3 linked regions of the Drosophila melanogaster genome follow. The protein of the gene in region 1 purifies or fractionates together with the protein of each later gene. This does not show direct contact. Each region holds a gene or a part of one and is shown in the gene's direction. Other genes may lie near its edges.

Region 1 (5,036 bases):
TCATCACGGGCTCCCAAATACCCATCTTTGAGACGCGAACCGATGGCAAGGACAATTTTACGTCAGCCTTGATCATAGCCGGTAACTACATCATTCCGGAGGTTTGCATCTTCTTTGGCCATAAGTTGATGCGCGGCAATCGGACGGTGAAGGTCAGTTCGAATGCCTTAGACGCGTTCGACTCACCGAATGTTCCACCACTGGCCAGGATCGGCATTGATGTGAACGTCGACTACCGCCTGATATTCCGGCCATGCACTATTGAAAGGTTTTGCGTACACTTGAATCTCGACGAGAACGTCGGCTTGCTGCGAATCTTTCCGAGCATTTCGCACTCCACATTCCGGGCTTTCCTGGCGCCACCGATTCGCGGCGTTGTCCTGCAATCCTTCGGATCTGGAAACATACCATCGAACCGAAAAGATCTCATCGATGAACTGCGTGCGGCTGGTGAACGAGGCGTTATCATCATCAATTGTACACAGTGTCCCAATGGCACAGTGGCGGAGATCTACGATACGGGCAAGGTGCTCTGCGATGTCGGTGTAATTCCCGGTTTCGATATGACGCCCGAGGCGGCGCTGGCCAAGCTGGCCTATGTCATCGGCAAGGAGGAGTGGTCACTCGATATGAAGAAGCAGGTAAGTTTCGACTATAATTCAATACATACATAAATATGGATAATCCACAATGTGTGCATTTCATAGATGATGCAGTCAAGCCTGAGGGGCGAACTGACCTCCTTAAAGGCTCCCAAAATGGAGGACTACGACTTGGTGGACGCAGTGGCACGGTCTCTGCACTTGTCCTCGCCCCAAGAACTGGATCAGCTGGGCGAAACGCTCTTTCCGGCCATGATCAACGCCGCTGTGGCCGAAGGTGATCCCAAGAAGATCAACAACTTGAAAGCCTATGGCGCCGACTTGTCGGGCACAAATCATGACCAGCGAACGGCCCTACACTTGGCTTGTCAGCTGGGAAACGTGGAGATCGTTAAGTACCTACTGCAGAACGGGGTGTCCGTGCACGTGCGTGATCGGTATGACCGCACTCCACTTCTGGAGGCTGTCGCCACCGATAGCCACGAGATCATCCAGTTGCTCATCAACTGTGGTGCTCATTTGACGGGCTCTTCGCGAGCGGTGGGCGAGCAATTGTGCGCGGCCGCTGCTAGGGGATCGATGATCAGATTGAAGTCCTATCAATACGCCGGTGCCGATCTTGCCCAGTCGGATCCTTCGGGCAGGACGGCCTTGCACGTGGCAGCACTGCACGGATTTCCGGAGGTGGTGCAATACGTCCTGCCCTATTTCGAGAATCCGAACGAGAAGGACATGCTCGGCCTGACCGCCATGGATTATGCGGAGCGCGGCGGACACGCAGCGGTTATGGAGGTCCTAAAATCATAGAAATCTCTTCCGAACCATACATACCTCGTTCCTTGTTCCTGCAGCATGAAGAAAAAAACAAACACTGGAGGCTAGGGTTATTTCTTTTGTACTTAAGTGTTGCATCTAGTCTAATGGTTCCTTATTATCAGTTTTGCATAACTCGCATATTAACGATGTTGTCGTGGTAGTTTTTATTATTAAGTGTCGAATCCCTGACCTGTTTTTAAGTAGTCCTTATTTACTAATGTATCCATTGTATGCAATAATATTATTAGCCAAAACCAAAAATTAACCAATCATGTCTAAAATTAAGCATCAGACATATTAAACGGTTGTATAACAAGTTATATACACAAACTAGTATAATTTGTTGTATGAAAATAAATAAAATCAATTTGAAATTAATGCAAAATTTTTGAATTAGTTTGTAATCGATTGATTGATTACGAGCGCAAGTGCTATCGAGCCATCTGTCATTCGATAACTTACCAGGGCTTTGTGACCCTATTCAGTTGTTGCGCAGCCCTGGTATCGAATTGTTTTTACGCTGGCATTAATTAGAATTGGTAAATATACATCTGTCAGCGTGCACATAAGAAAGCTCTTACGTTGCAATCTAGTGCTTAGTGGCTTGTAACTCAGAAACCAGGCGAAAATCGACACAAGCGCTGGAAAAACAGCAAACAAAACACACACACAGCCCCACTCGCACACACACAGCCGCACACACACGCACACATCTATAGAGAGGTGCACACGTCAGTGCCACGAATTCCATAAAATAAAAAGAACAACAAGAAACGCAAATTCAAAGCTAAAGACAATTCTAGCCGATCGGAAGCGGATGATATATGTTAGCTATATGGTAAACCCTCTCTCGTTGCAGTCAATGTCGATAGCTAGCGCTGCGCAGCCACCGTGGATATATAATCGGTCCTTCAGATAGCCAGTCCGCATATATATTCCCGATTCCCCCGATTTGTGTTTTTGTTTGTTTTTGGTTTTTTTTTTTTTTTTGTTATTGCTGCTGCATTTGGTCCGGTACGCTAGGATAGTTAGTAATATTTTGTAATTGAAACGACAATGGCGGAAGATTCGGGTGCTTTGGAGAGCTCCTACGACTTCTCCATCGTTCAGGTGGGTTTCACTTGGTGTTCCCTGTACGTACATGCGTCCATACTGATCATGACCACTTGCAGCCCGACGATCACGAATATGGCGAGGCGGATATACGCTTAGCGGGCAGCTCCAACGATCTGTCCTCGTTACAGGTGGGTAAATCTGAACAAATCCCCCAAGTGAAGCAGGATTCAATATTATCTGTTGAATCTACCCTACAGAATGTATCCGCCAGCACAACGAGAGGCACCAAAGGCAAGGGCCGTTTGGATAGCCTTAAAGAGAATCTGTACAAGCAGCAGGTGAGTTAGGCGCTGTGAATCAAGTGGTTCATATCATTAAATGACTCGAAATGATTGCTTTCAGGAGCGCCTCACTGCCTTAAAAGAACGCGCCTTAAGGAAATCCCAGGATGAGCGACACAAGTCCAGCATGAGTGACTCCATGGAGTCGCTTAAGACACTGGGTCAGAAGCTCACCGTGTTGAAGACGCGCTCCGGCGACTCCTCCACTCCACTGGTCTCACCCACAAAGGACAGCGACCCCGGTGATGTCTCTTTACTCCAAACCAGTGGCAGCGAGAAGCTTCTGATGCTCACACAGCGCACGGAACAAAATCGTGCTTTGTTGGAGCAGCGCAAGAGGGATCTGGCCAAGTCTCTTCTTTCTGTAAAGTCGAATATTGGCCACCAAACGACCGCCGAGCTGGGCTCTTCCATGACGGACCTACGACACGCGGCGTCTGTCTCCAATCCACCCGTATCCCGCCATCGTTCTGCCTTGGACTTGGAGGCCCAGGGTCAGGAGGCGGTGGACGAAAGCCGGGTGAAGTTGCTCAGGAGTCGTATGAAGTTGACGGAACTCAAGCAGGGCCGGCAGGAACAGGAGCTAAATGAATTGCGTACAGAACTGGCCAAGCGCGCTAAACTCATCGAGCGATTGGAACTATCCGGTGCGGAATTACAGCGCACGCTCACCCAGCGAAACGAGGAGTTAGAGCAATTGCGTGTGGTCCAGGCAGAAGAGGATAGCCTGAAGGTGCAGGAAAACTCTCGCCTCCAGGGCGAAGTTTTAGTCTTAAGAGAACGACTAGCAGAGCTGGAAAACGTCAACGACCTGTTAGAAACGACGCGCTGTGAACTTCAGGAAGAGCTGACCACGGCGCGCGAAAGACAGCGTAATCTGGAGTTGGAACAAGAGCAGGAAAAGGCTTCCCGCAGTCCGCAATCGGAAGCAGCGCATACCGATGCACAGGTGAGCGCGGAGCTAGCCAAACAGCTCCAGGAGCTTACCAACCAGCTGGCTGATCTACAGGCAACTAATGAGGAGTTGCGTCAGCAAGTTGCTGCCCAGGCGAAGCTCCAGGTGACCGATGAGATTGTTTCCCAGCGCCTTGAGGAACTGGAAGCCACCATAGCGGCGCAGCTTCTAGAGCTGCAGGAACAGAAGTCGGCAATGGCTGCCCAAAACGAAGAACTCGCAGAAAAGACAACGGAACTCAATGTGCTCAATGTGAATCTGCGTCTCCTTGAGGAGAAACTCGCGCAAAGCAGTCGCAGTAAGCCCCTATTTCTGGAGGACCATTCGGAGGACAGTGCCGCCAGCAAGCAGATGCAGGAGGATCTGCAGCAGCTGAAGCTAAAGCTGGACGAAACTAACAAGGCCAACATAAAGCTAAAGCTGAAATGCAAGCAGGCGGAAAAGAAGCTGCAGAAATTCCAATCCCAAGATGGCCAACAGCAGTTGGCTTCACTGTTGGCTGATAACGAGGAACTGCAGCAAAGGATCGCCGTCCTCGAGGACGAGAAGGGTCAATGGCAGTTGGCCAACATGCAAGAGGACGACCGCCAGCCAGAGCAATCGACGGAGTCCAATAATCCACTGCAGCTGGAAACAATTCGTTTGCTGGAAGAGCAGAAATTGGAATTGCAACAGGCCCTAGAGGCCTTACTCAGTTCATCCAGTTCTGCGGAATCCATTGAAATAGTGGAGCGTCATCACTTAGAGTGCCTAGGCCAACGACGTCCGGCCAGCGAGGGCGACGCCCAGGAGCAGAAGCAAGTGCATCCACCAGGGCCAAGTCACGTCAGCGAGCTCACTCAGACGGAGCAAACTGAGGAGGAGGATTCCTCTGGCGAAACTCTTTCCCAGCTTAGAGAACGTCTCGAACTTTTCACCCAGGAGCGCGGAGAGGTATTGGACAAGCTGGAGCAACTGTCGGCCGAGAATTTGCAACTCCAGGCAAGATTGGAGGAAAGTTCAAGTTCTCTTCAGCTGTTGCAGCGTGAACGTGAGAAGGATCTGATCTCCTCCACGTCCACTTCATCCAATCTCTCGCAGGAACTCAGTTCAATGCAACGCTCCTCCGAAGTTGTCGCAACACTGGACGCCGGCGAAGGAGGCCCCGTGCTCTTTGAGAAATGCGAGAAATCCCTGAGCAAACTCAACTCTGAATTGGAGGCCTATCGCAAGGCCAACGATAGGCAGGCCAAGTTCAATGTGTCCAAGAAACTGGCCAAGGAGGCC
Region 2 (4,842 bases), about 14 Mb from region 1:
ACATGTTACACAAAAATAAGCAGAACTCCAAATGAATGGTACTCCAAACAAAAAAGATCAATCAACAAAATATGATCAAAAAACATTTCTTATGTACGTTAAATTTAAATGAAATGCAAAGAATTTCCTAACGATTATAGTGTTGTGGTAAATCTGCACCTTACTGGTCAATATTACCCTACTCACCAGATCCTCGGGATGCTTGAGCGTGAGCTTAAGCATAAACGACGGCACCTTCAGCATATCCACGCACATGGACCTGTTGGCCAGCGCCTGGGAGGGATTCATCTCGCTGAGCCCCATGAGCAGCATTAACCGGTGCTTGCCATCGCTGCCATCCTCGTCGCAATTGGCGATCACATGGGACACAACGTCGCGATAGCAATCCGGAAAGTTGGCGACCAGTGCGCAGATGATGCGATGTCCGTTGGGCACATGGACAAGGGCGTCCGTTAGCTCCAGTATGTTCAGCAGGGAGGGCAGCTCGGCGAGAGCAATGCACAGAATGTCGACCACCTCCTCCAGATAGATGCCGTCGTCCAGCATCTCCGAATGGGCGGCCGGTTTCTGCTCGGAGACCTGCTGCTGCAGATTGAAGATCTCGGAGAGCACCACGCGCACCTTGCGCGCCACATCCGCCCGCTCAAAGCCCAGTGCGATGCCCGACTGGAGGCCGTACTCGTGTTGCTGTCCCTCGAAGAAGGCCGACTTCTGGCGGGCCTGCAGCTCCTTCTTCAGCTCATTCTCCAGCTCATGGTAGTTGACTTGCAGGTAGGAGACGATGCTGTTCACCACCTCGATGCCGATGAGCACGGCCAGGATCTCTTTGCGCGACTCCATCGACGATTCGGTGTTGTCCAGTGGCGATAGCAGGCTCATCCGCACCAGCGAGGGCAGCACGGGCCGAATCTCCGCCTCCGGATAGCTGGCCAGCAGGGTGATGTCCAGATTCTGCATGGCGCAGAAAACGCGCGGCGATACATCGTACATCCTCACCGGCATTTTGTCCTCGTCGTCGTTGTCGTTGCGTTCCAACTTGTTGCACCCGGCAATGCTCGTGTGCTCGGTTGTCCCGCTCTATTGGCCTGGCCGGCGGGGTGTCCGTGCTGGAGATGCCGGCGCGGGTCTGCTTTAATCTCGGCGATCTGTAGTTGGGGCAGGGAATGCCGGAGAATCCGAGAATCCACTGCGATCCGCATCCAAAAAATCAACACACGTCAGTGTGGCCAGTTGGAGAGGCTGCAAATATACCAGCAATTACTACATTTTATTATTTTATTATTATAAAAATACTATACTGCTCTCATAGGTGAAGGTTAACAAAGAGATGCGCAGCTAAAGAAAAATATTAACAATTATTGCAAGAGGCTAACAACTATTAGTACTATTAAGTTAGTAAAATCTTTACTGTTATTATTAGCAATAAGGCTTATATTCTCCCAAAAAGCCAACATATTAAAAAAAGTTAAATATAAATAAGTTATGTTTGTATATAAGCATTTCTGTAACGAAAATCTTAGGAAAATAAGAACATTTTGGTTCTGATAAAAATTTAATTAATATTATTTAAATAGCTCGAAGTAATAGAGTACATGTGGCGTAAACAATTGTTTATGTAATATTAGGTTATACAAATATGAAGGAATATTTAAGTTAAATAATATATAAAAATCTTAAGTTCCACCGTTTTGGCTAATTTATAGCCAGATCATGTGGCACGGCCACACTGCGCAGTAGGCGTTTTTTAGCGCCTTCTCGCGCTGGTTCACTTCGTTCACTCGTTCGCAACGCGATGTTTTGAATACATACATTTTTTCCATTCTCGCCAAGTGAAGTTCATCCGCCAGACCGAAGATTTTTAGTTGAACGTGCTAAATCTATGAAATTAACTGTGTTTTATGAATCAATTAGGGCGAGCGGAGCTGCAAAATTATCGAGTAGGTAAGTGAAAGTCGCCGCAGTGCAGTAAAAACGGCGCGAAATTCGAAACGCAAGCGGTCGAACGGGGAAAATGTGAAATAGACCAACGCCCAAGTGAATAGGCCACGAAAAAGGAGCCACCAATAAAAGGCAGAAGTGGCAAAAGAGAGCAAAAAGTATCTAACGAATGTGTGAGCGACTCTTACTCTTGGTGTGCCTGTGTGTGTGTTTTTGGTTTGAGAATTAGAAGTGTGCTAAAATATGAAAAGCAAGTGATTTCTCGCATACATTTCTACGTACATAATAAAAACATCATCGATTAAAATTGCCTGCTAACTCATATATTTCGACGCTGTCGCCGTCGCTGCCGGCGTCGCTGTCTCTGCCACCGATGATGACATCATTCGGTTTTCGTTGAGAGCGCGTAGCGTGCGTGAGTGTGTGTGTATGTTTGTTCGAGTAATCGAATTGGACGAGTGTAGTTCGCATTTTTTTTTTTATTTTTTAAATTACTTGGTGTAAATGTGCCTGAATGGCAGGACCGAAACTCTAGAGCTGTGAATTAAACGCATGAATGACATGTTGCTGTGCAAGAAGAAGAAGCGCAAGCCTTAAGTAACGTTTGCGTCAGTTGTTCGTTCCGTTGGTGATAAAAAGCGAAGAACACGGCTATCGCCTAATCGGAGATATATATATATATATACATGTGTATCATACGTTGAGGTTCCGTGTGCTTGTGAGTTTTATGAAATACAAGCGGTGCGCTCTTTTTTCTTCCCCGTAGATACGCATACGCCTATGCACTTGGCTGAAATACAGTTACGTGCTCACCAACACATCGGCTAAAAATAACACACACTCCCCATTTCCCATTTCCCTTGCACCCCGCTCTTCTCACCCACCCGGCCCTCTGAGGTCACGAGTTGAAGTTTCATTTCGAAGTTACGAGTTAAAAGATATAAATATACTGAGCTGCACTTGCCCAATGTTTGTTTGCTTATGTGTTTGTTTGTGCTTCACCTTGTCGCTGATGTTGTTGCATTGTTGTTGTTTATGACAAATCACACACGTACAGTTGTAAACACAACACACACACCCGCACACAAACCTACAAACATACAGGCATTCAATCAATTGATCGCCGAAAACTCATTAACTTGCTCATAAATGGCAGGGAAAACTGGTTTTTCCTTAGCAAAGCCTCAGCTTTGGTGGTGGTTTCATTTCCAAGTTTCCAAAGTTGAACTCTTGGCCTGTTTAATTGAACTCGCAGTTGCACACACGCCCCGCTCTCTCTCTTCCGCTCACACTGTGTCTCTCTTCATCGCTCTCTGTGATGAACTCACACTGGAAACAAGAGGATCGGATCGGCCATCATAATTAAGTCTAGAAAGCACCAACAATTGAAGGTGGTAAGGTGGGGTGGGTGGTTGGGGTGTGTAAGGGGAAGAGAGCTAGCCCGTGAGAGCGTCTTGTGCAGTTTCCACCCCTCTATCCCTTGCTCACTTCCACTTCCAGCACTCCTACTCTAACTGCACCACCTTCCAGATACAGATATATAGATACAATAGTACTCTCCCTCTTTCTCTTTCTCCTCTCTCCATCTCTATCTATCGCTCTGCGCTCCAGTTTTGTTGTTGCTCGCTCTCGCTCTCTCAAAGTTTTAAGCTTCGTTTTAATAAAAATATTACGTAATACTAAGATAGAAGCTGCTGCGTGCGTGTGCGTGTGTGCTGATTTTGCTTTTGTTTGTTTTAACAATTCTCGCTCGCACTATGGTTCTTGATGTTCTTCATTTTGGGTGTTGTTGTCGCGGTGCTCTCATAAAACTTAGTACAAATGAAATCAGCAGCTTAGTTAATTGTGTAAGCGAGAAGAGGAAGAGCGAAGAACGAAGAGTAGAGGAGGGCGATAACGAAGCGATGGGAAAAAGTTATGTTTGCTGCTTTTGTTGTTGTTGTGTGCGTAGAAGGGAATGACCCCGGCACCTGTGCAAACGCGAATGTATATAAAGGTCAAAGGACATTAGCACAAAAACCCACTGTTATACACAGCAAAAGGGGCCTGATTCAATCAGTGATTCTATTTTTGTCCTAGGTCGGCAAGCTTATATTACTTAATTCCATTAATCAAGCAATTAAATTGTTATTCTAATCGAGTTGCGGTCATTCATTAAAGAATTCATTATTCATCTTACAAATAATTTTCAAAAATATCATACTGAATTGCATTTACTGTAAATAAAATATTGTGAATGAATAAAAGTTGAAAACATGAACTGACATAATATTTCTAATAATTTACTAAAATTTTGTAGAGGCAGTATTTTATTTGGGGAAATTTTGAGTTCTGAATTAAGTACTGTGTTCTCCTAATTTGTAATGTGAAAGCCGCGGAGAAAGTGCGGCAATAAAAAAACAAAAAAATATGTCAAGTGGAAAAAGTACAGCCCAAGTACTTCGCCCATTTTCATTGCAACCTAAAAGCTTGCAAAAGTGTGAAAAACGCTGCGATGTGTGAAACCGAATGAATTTTCGAGGGCCAACTGCCGTGTGAATAGGTCGTAATTTCAAATCGTCGGCTACGTCGATAAAAAACCAGTGAAATACTAGTATACAAGCCCATGTAAATGAGTGATAGACATACGTGTGTCCCGTAAAACAAAAAGCTCGCCGATGGAAAAATGGAAACTGAATGGGCCCAGCATGAATATGATTTATGAAAATGTGAAATGTGCGATGTGTGTTCACAGTTGAGGTCATAAAGATAGCAGCGAACTTTAGCATTCAAGCTAAAACTTATTAGCTACGACGTTATATACTTTTTGTGCCTTTTTATTGTTAGTCTAATTATAAAAAAAAGAGCAAGTATTTATAGTTATAAAATCAATAACAAGAATTTGTTTAATGCACCTCTTTGAGG
Region 3 (4,837 bases), on another chromosome or scaffold:
GTCTTCTCCTCGCCACCGGCGACGTCATCCGAGTCATCTTCCTCCTTCTTGTCACCCTCCAAGTCAGCGGCATTGGGCACCCAGAGACCAGAGTCCACACAACGCTTCATGTGCAGCTTGGCGACGTCCACGGGCATGGCCGCAATGGTCTTCTGCAGCAGCTCTACGTCGCGGGACTCGAAACAGGCCTTTAGTTCCTGCGGAGCAAATACATGAAAAGTTAGTCAAGTAATTCCCATACAGTGAATCACTAGAACGTACATCGGGCAGGGATTCAAAGACATCGGCTGGGTCCAGACCACCAGGTCCGAGGCGCTCCTTGCGCTCCTCCTCTTCGGCCTGGGCTATCGCCTCCTGGATCTTCTCCTGCGCACGCTTCTGGATACGTCCTTTGAAACCTTCGATCTCGCTGTCGAACTGCGCGCGGTACTCGGGATGACAGTGCTGGATCTTTGAGAAGAAGGAGCTGACACAGGCGCGAGGATCCACGTCCAGCTGTTTGGCCAACTCTAGAATGTACTGCATGCAAATGCACTGATGCGCCACGTGGGCCATCAGCTCGTGCTTCTCCTCCATTTCCAGGTTGATGGACCAAATGACTAGGTAGTTGGCCGTCTCCTCGCCCACCAAGTGAAGATGCTCCTGCAGAAACCGCTTCGAATCGTCGTACTTGCGCAGCATGCCATACTGCTGGCAGAGCTTCTCGTTCTCCTTGACGAATTGCTTCATGCGCTGCTCTCGCTCTTCCTCGGACAGATTCTCATCCGGCTTGCGGCCGGCCTTCTTGTTGATTACGGTCTTCTCAAAGCCGGGCTTGCTGATGGTGTCCACGTTCCAGGGTGTTTTCTTTTCCTTCTTAATCATCTCGCTCTCGATGCGGTCCAGCTCTTTGCCCTCGGCCTCGATCTTTTCGAGCTCTTTCTGTAGGCGATACAAATTAGGGATTAAGCATTGCGATGAAAGATGGATGGCCACTTAGGATGATAGTCAATCATAAGCTTGACAATAAGAATAAATTAGATGGATTGAGAACATAGGGAACTCCCAGACCAGGCATTAGCCTAAGCAACAAGTGCGCAGTGCATTCGGTGCAATGACCCACCTTCAGGGCCTCCTCGTCGCCATCCTTCTTTGAGATCCGCTCCTTGACGTCCATGAGGCGCGCCTGGTAGCTCTGGCGCTTTTTCTTAAGCTCGTCCTTCTCGTGGTCCATCTCCGCCATGCGCTCCACGCGCGCCTGGTGCCGCCAGCGGAACAGAGAAGGCGTGTCTATGTTTGGGTGAGTGTCGTCCTCATCATCCGAAATCTAAAAGGTAGTGTGCCGATTAGGAGGACTTTTTGGGTTGGCACCCAGCAGTGGGCTCACCTCGATGTTCTTCCACTTGCTGTAGTCCACCATTTTGCTGTTTCTTTGCTTCGGATTTATATTTGAATGTAAATGCTGCAGGTTTTTGTTCTTTTTCGGCTGCTTCCTTTTTTTGGATTGCTCTGGAAATTAGTGTGACCGCAGGGCTATTGCGGAATAATACCATAATAAGCCCCGCTTACTCTGGGGCCGCGCTAGGAAATAGTAGTCATGCATGAGTGCACCAGATTGAATTGAAATACCCTGTCGTTTTTAATTTATTTACATCATCTACTACTACTCATCTACATCTACTAGAAAAATAATGAGATGACTAAGGCGCCAAAGCGACCAGAAAGAGAACTATGTTTATAATCGATTGACATCGATAGAAATCGCGATATTGATGTCAATGTTCTGCGCCAATCGGCCGACATATTGAAAAAAACTGCGGTCCCGTGAAATAGAGGCGCTCCGTGAAAATTACGAATAACTACTGCAAATCAATAGTTAAATTAACAAAGTAACTGTGAACAAATAGATTGCCATCAAAGTGTAAGTTTCTACATAGTTTTCGTCCGTAGCTCACTGTTAGTTGGGTTCAAAATGCAATTGAAATTCGGTGTGCGTGCAAAGTGAAAATTTTTCGGGTCAACGCCACACCCTCGAAGGCAACACAAAAATCCAATTAACGGGGCTAAAGTGAGAGAAAAGTCTTGGCCATAACTGAAAAGCTATGCTGTGCAATGTCACTGCTTGATTAGTAATAGAAATTTTGAATTTCTTTCAAAATTCTTGACTCCAATTGCAACTTAAGAAAAAGTATCTGGTGCTCCTGTTGTGCATGTGTGTGTGCGGTTACGCAGGAGTAGAGAACGCTGTGTGTGTGTACGTCATCGGGTGGTGGTGGTGGTGCGGCAACTTCAGATGAGAGAAAGCGGGAGAGCACACTCTCCCTCTCTTTGCTTGTTTGTGTTTCCAAGATATTTAAGTACGAATAAAAAAAAAGCAAAGTGCTTGCCTTACATATGCCAAAGTTTTGGGTGGGCAAGTGTCCTTGACTTTCTTGAAGGCCTGTGTTTGCATAGGATATTTTTGTTTGCTTGCCAGGCGATTCCGTGTTCGTAGTAGTCTTGCGTACCAGTTGATTTTTTGTGCCTCTTCATTGATTGCTCATAATTCCAAAGCGTACGCATTACGTCATCCTCTGCTATTTTCTGATAGACACTTCAATTAATGTTTCGCTCTCTCCGTCTCTTTCTATTCGCTCTCTTTTTGAGGTGCGATCTCTCGCAATTGCCGTTTCTGATGTTGTTTTTGTTTGCCACCGCGATAAACAGTTAAATTGGCCTGCCTGTGTGTTTGTATGTGAGCTCCAACATTGTATGGCTGCCAAGCCCTGGGCTGTTGCCATCTCCCTCTGATTTATTTCAATTTCCTGTGGCAAAGAGTGTTGTTTGTTTGTTTCTCTGCATGCTGACCCACCCTCTCCCCTAAATGATGTCATTGCTTGCTCTGCTGACCCCTTCTAAAGGGGCGATTTTGAAGTATTAAGTATTAAAATCCGGACATTCCACGGATTTCCTTATCGTTAGTGCTAATTGTATTTCATGTTACTCTATTGACAAAAATTCACTCCTTGGCTTTTCTCTATTAATCATTCTTGGCCAATCTTAACTATTTTACCTTCTGTGTAGTGTAGCTGAGAATTTCAGATATTTCTCTGCTTTTCTTATCTGAGTTGTTTTTTTTTTTTTTTTAGCACTAAAAATTGGAAACTATTAGAAATGTGATTTTATGGGCTATCAACTAAGTTTGGAAATTAAAATAAATGATATCTTATAAGAATTCATAGAAAATATTTATACTTTAACAACAAAAAATTGTTGATGCAATATTTAGATACTTTTAGAAACCTACTATTCTTTTATTGTTAAGGTTAATACCTTTACAAATTTGTTTAGCATACATGTGCGTTTTTCCAAACCTGACCTACAAATATATTCCTCATAATTTCCCGCCTAACTATAACCTTATTACAACTTTTAGTACAGGTGATGAAGTCATCACAACTCGTAGCATTTTACGTGTCGTTTACGTTGATTTAGTTTATTGTGTGAAAACATATTGTTTATACAGAAAAAAAAGAAAATCCTGCAACTTCAACCCATCCAAACAACTCTAAAAATAACTTAGAAAACGAAACCCACAAAAGCCGAGCCAACATTTCCCTTCTCTCCTCTTCCGTTGCAGGGAAACAAAAGGGAGAGAGGGATTGGAGGAGGGCCAAAGGTTGAAAATAGCTCGAGCTAAGGCACAGAAAATAGATCACCGGAACATGACTGCAGAGCTCAAAGCGTCAGATACAGAAATGACGAAGCCGGAAGAGAGGCATCTGCTGCAGCTGCTTGCGCAACTGGAGAAGGTGCCGCACCACCAGCTGGAGCAAAAGTTCGTCGCCTATTTTAAAAAGGTTGGCAAGGGTGATAACCAGAGTAACTGCACACTAGAGGACTTCGCCACCTACTTTTTAGGTGCACTGCGTCAAAGCACAAAGAGGTACTACTATTCGCAAAACTCGGAGACACCCGTGTTTCCCTTGACCCCCATCCATCAGCTCAAGCCGCCGGTCGCCGATGTGGTCAAGGAGGAGGAACAGCAGCAGCTCAATGAGTCCTCGATCCTTAGCCGGAGCAGCTGCAGTATGTCCTCCACTTCGAATACTACTCCGGCTCCCCAGCAGCCGCAGGGCAGAAGATCAACGCCAGGAAGTGGCGCCCAGTTTTGCAGCACGCCTAACAGAAGCGGCGGTGGGGGAGCAGGAGGAGGGCACAGCATCTGCTTGGGCAACTTTCTGGTCAATACACCTATCCAGAGCCATCAGCGATCTAAGAAGAAGATCACGCCCCAAAAACAGCAGCAAAATCAACATGCATCATTGGGTTCAGGAACTGGAGCTGGAGCCACGCCACAATCCAAGCCGCGGCGACGTGTCTTACCCATGACCATTAGCAAGAATGTTTCGGCCAGCTCCTCTTTCGGAGACACCAGTTCCTTTAGCAATGAAAATAACTTTTGGCGAATCTCGCAGAGCAGCGAAATCTTCGATAGAAGCCAAGAAGCAGCCCTGGAAATGGAGGCCCGCAAGTTCCTGTTGCTCAAAAAGCAGGAAATCAAAAGCGAAGCGCCTGTGAATGTTAGTCAACAGGAGAGGACACCCGAAGATGAGGTTTTCCCTGAGGAAGCCATTAGCTTGGAGGGTGTGGCTAATGCCAATCACTTGCAGCTCCTATCAACCATTTACAGCCTGTTAATGGACCTCAATTTGGTGCCCAACGTACTACGTGAACTTAGTTTTGTGGTCCATCTGCTAAATGTGCGAGATTTTGGCCAATCACCCGTCAAATCGTATGTACCCAGTGCTTTGGAGGGACTCACCCAGCACAAAAGTTGTGTATACTTTGCCGCAAAACTGCTGGAGAATCAGAAAAA

Evidence for each region. Proteins that work in one complex are often made in the same cells at the same time.
Region 2: the proteins of lva (region 1) and beta-Spec purify together in Drosophila melanogaster (affinity purification with western blotting, with the first as the bait; one study listed by BioGRID). This does not show direct contact.
Region 3: the proteins of lva (region 1) and alpha-Spec purify together in Drosophila melanogaster (affinity purification with western blotting; 2 studies listed by BioGRID, with this or other methods). This does not show direct contact.

Annotation. Positions count from the first base shown.
Region 1 is NC_004354.4:3,962,193-3,967,228, reverse strand, and holds the start of lva (lava lamp), read left to right. Parts: upstream 1-1,901; 5' UTR 1,902-2,474; coding exon 2,475-2,528; intron 2,529-2,590; coding exon 2,591-2,662; intron 2,663-2,731; coding exon 2,732-2,812; intron 2,813-2,876; coding exon 2,877-5,036. Other genes in the region: CG6428 (uncharacterized protein), read left to right, coding at 1-641, 708-1,409. UniProt on the Drosophila melanogaster protein: Lva and spectrin may form a Golgi-based scaffold that mediates interaction of Golgi bodies with microtubules and facilitates Golgi-derived membrane secretion required for the formation of furrows during cellularization.
Region 2 is NC_004354.4:17,655,597-17,660,438, forward strand, and holds the start of beta-Spec (beta spectrin), read left to right. Parts: upstream 1-1,775; 5' UTR 1,776-1,937; exon of another isoform or gene 1,938-1,941; intron 1,942-4,842. Other genes in the region: IntS2 (integrator 2), read right to left, coding at 187-1,002. UniProt on the Drosophila melanogaster protein: Spectrin is the major constituent of the cytoskeletal network underlying the erythrocyte plasma membrane. It associates with band 4.1 and actin to form the cytoskeletal superstructure of the erythrocyte plasma membrane.
Region 3 is NT_037436.4:1,792,262-1,797,098, reverse strand, and holds the start of alpha-Spec (alpha spectrin), read left to right. Parts: upstream 1-1,770; 5' UTR 1,771-1,900; intron 1,901-3,598; exon of another isoform or gene 3,599-3,683; coding exon of another isoform or gene 3,684-4,837. Other genes in the region: Cdc37 (cell division cycle 37), read right to left, coding at 1-197, 262-921, 1,103-1,306, 1,367-1,399; dlt (discs lost), read left to right, coding at 3,684-4,837. UniProt on the Drosophila melanogaster protein: Spectrin is the major constituent of the cytoskeletal network underlying the erythrocyte plasma membrane. It associates with band 4.1 and actin to form the cytoskeletal superstructure of the erythrocyte plasma membrane.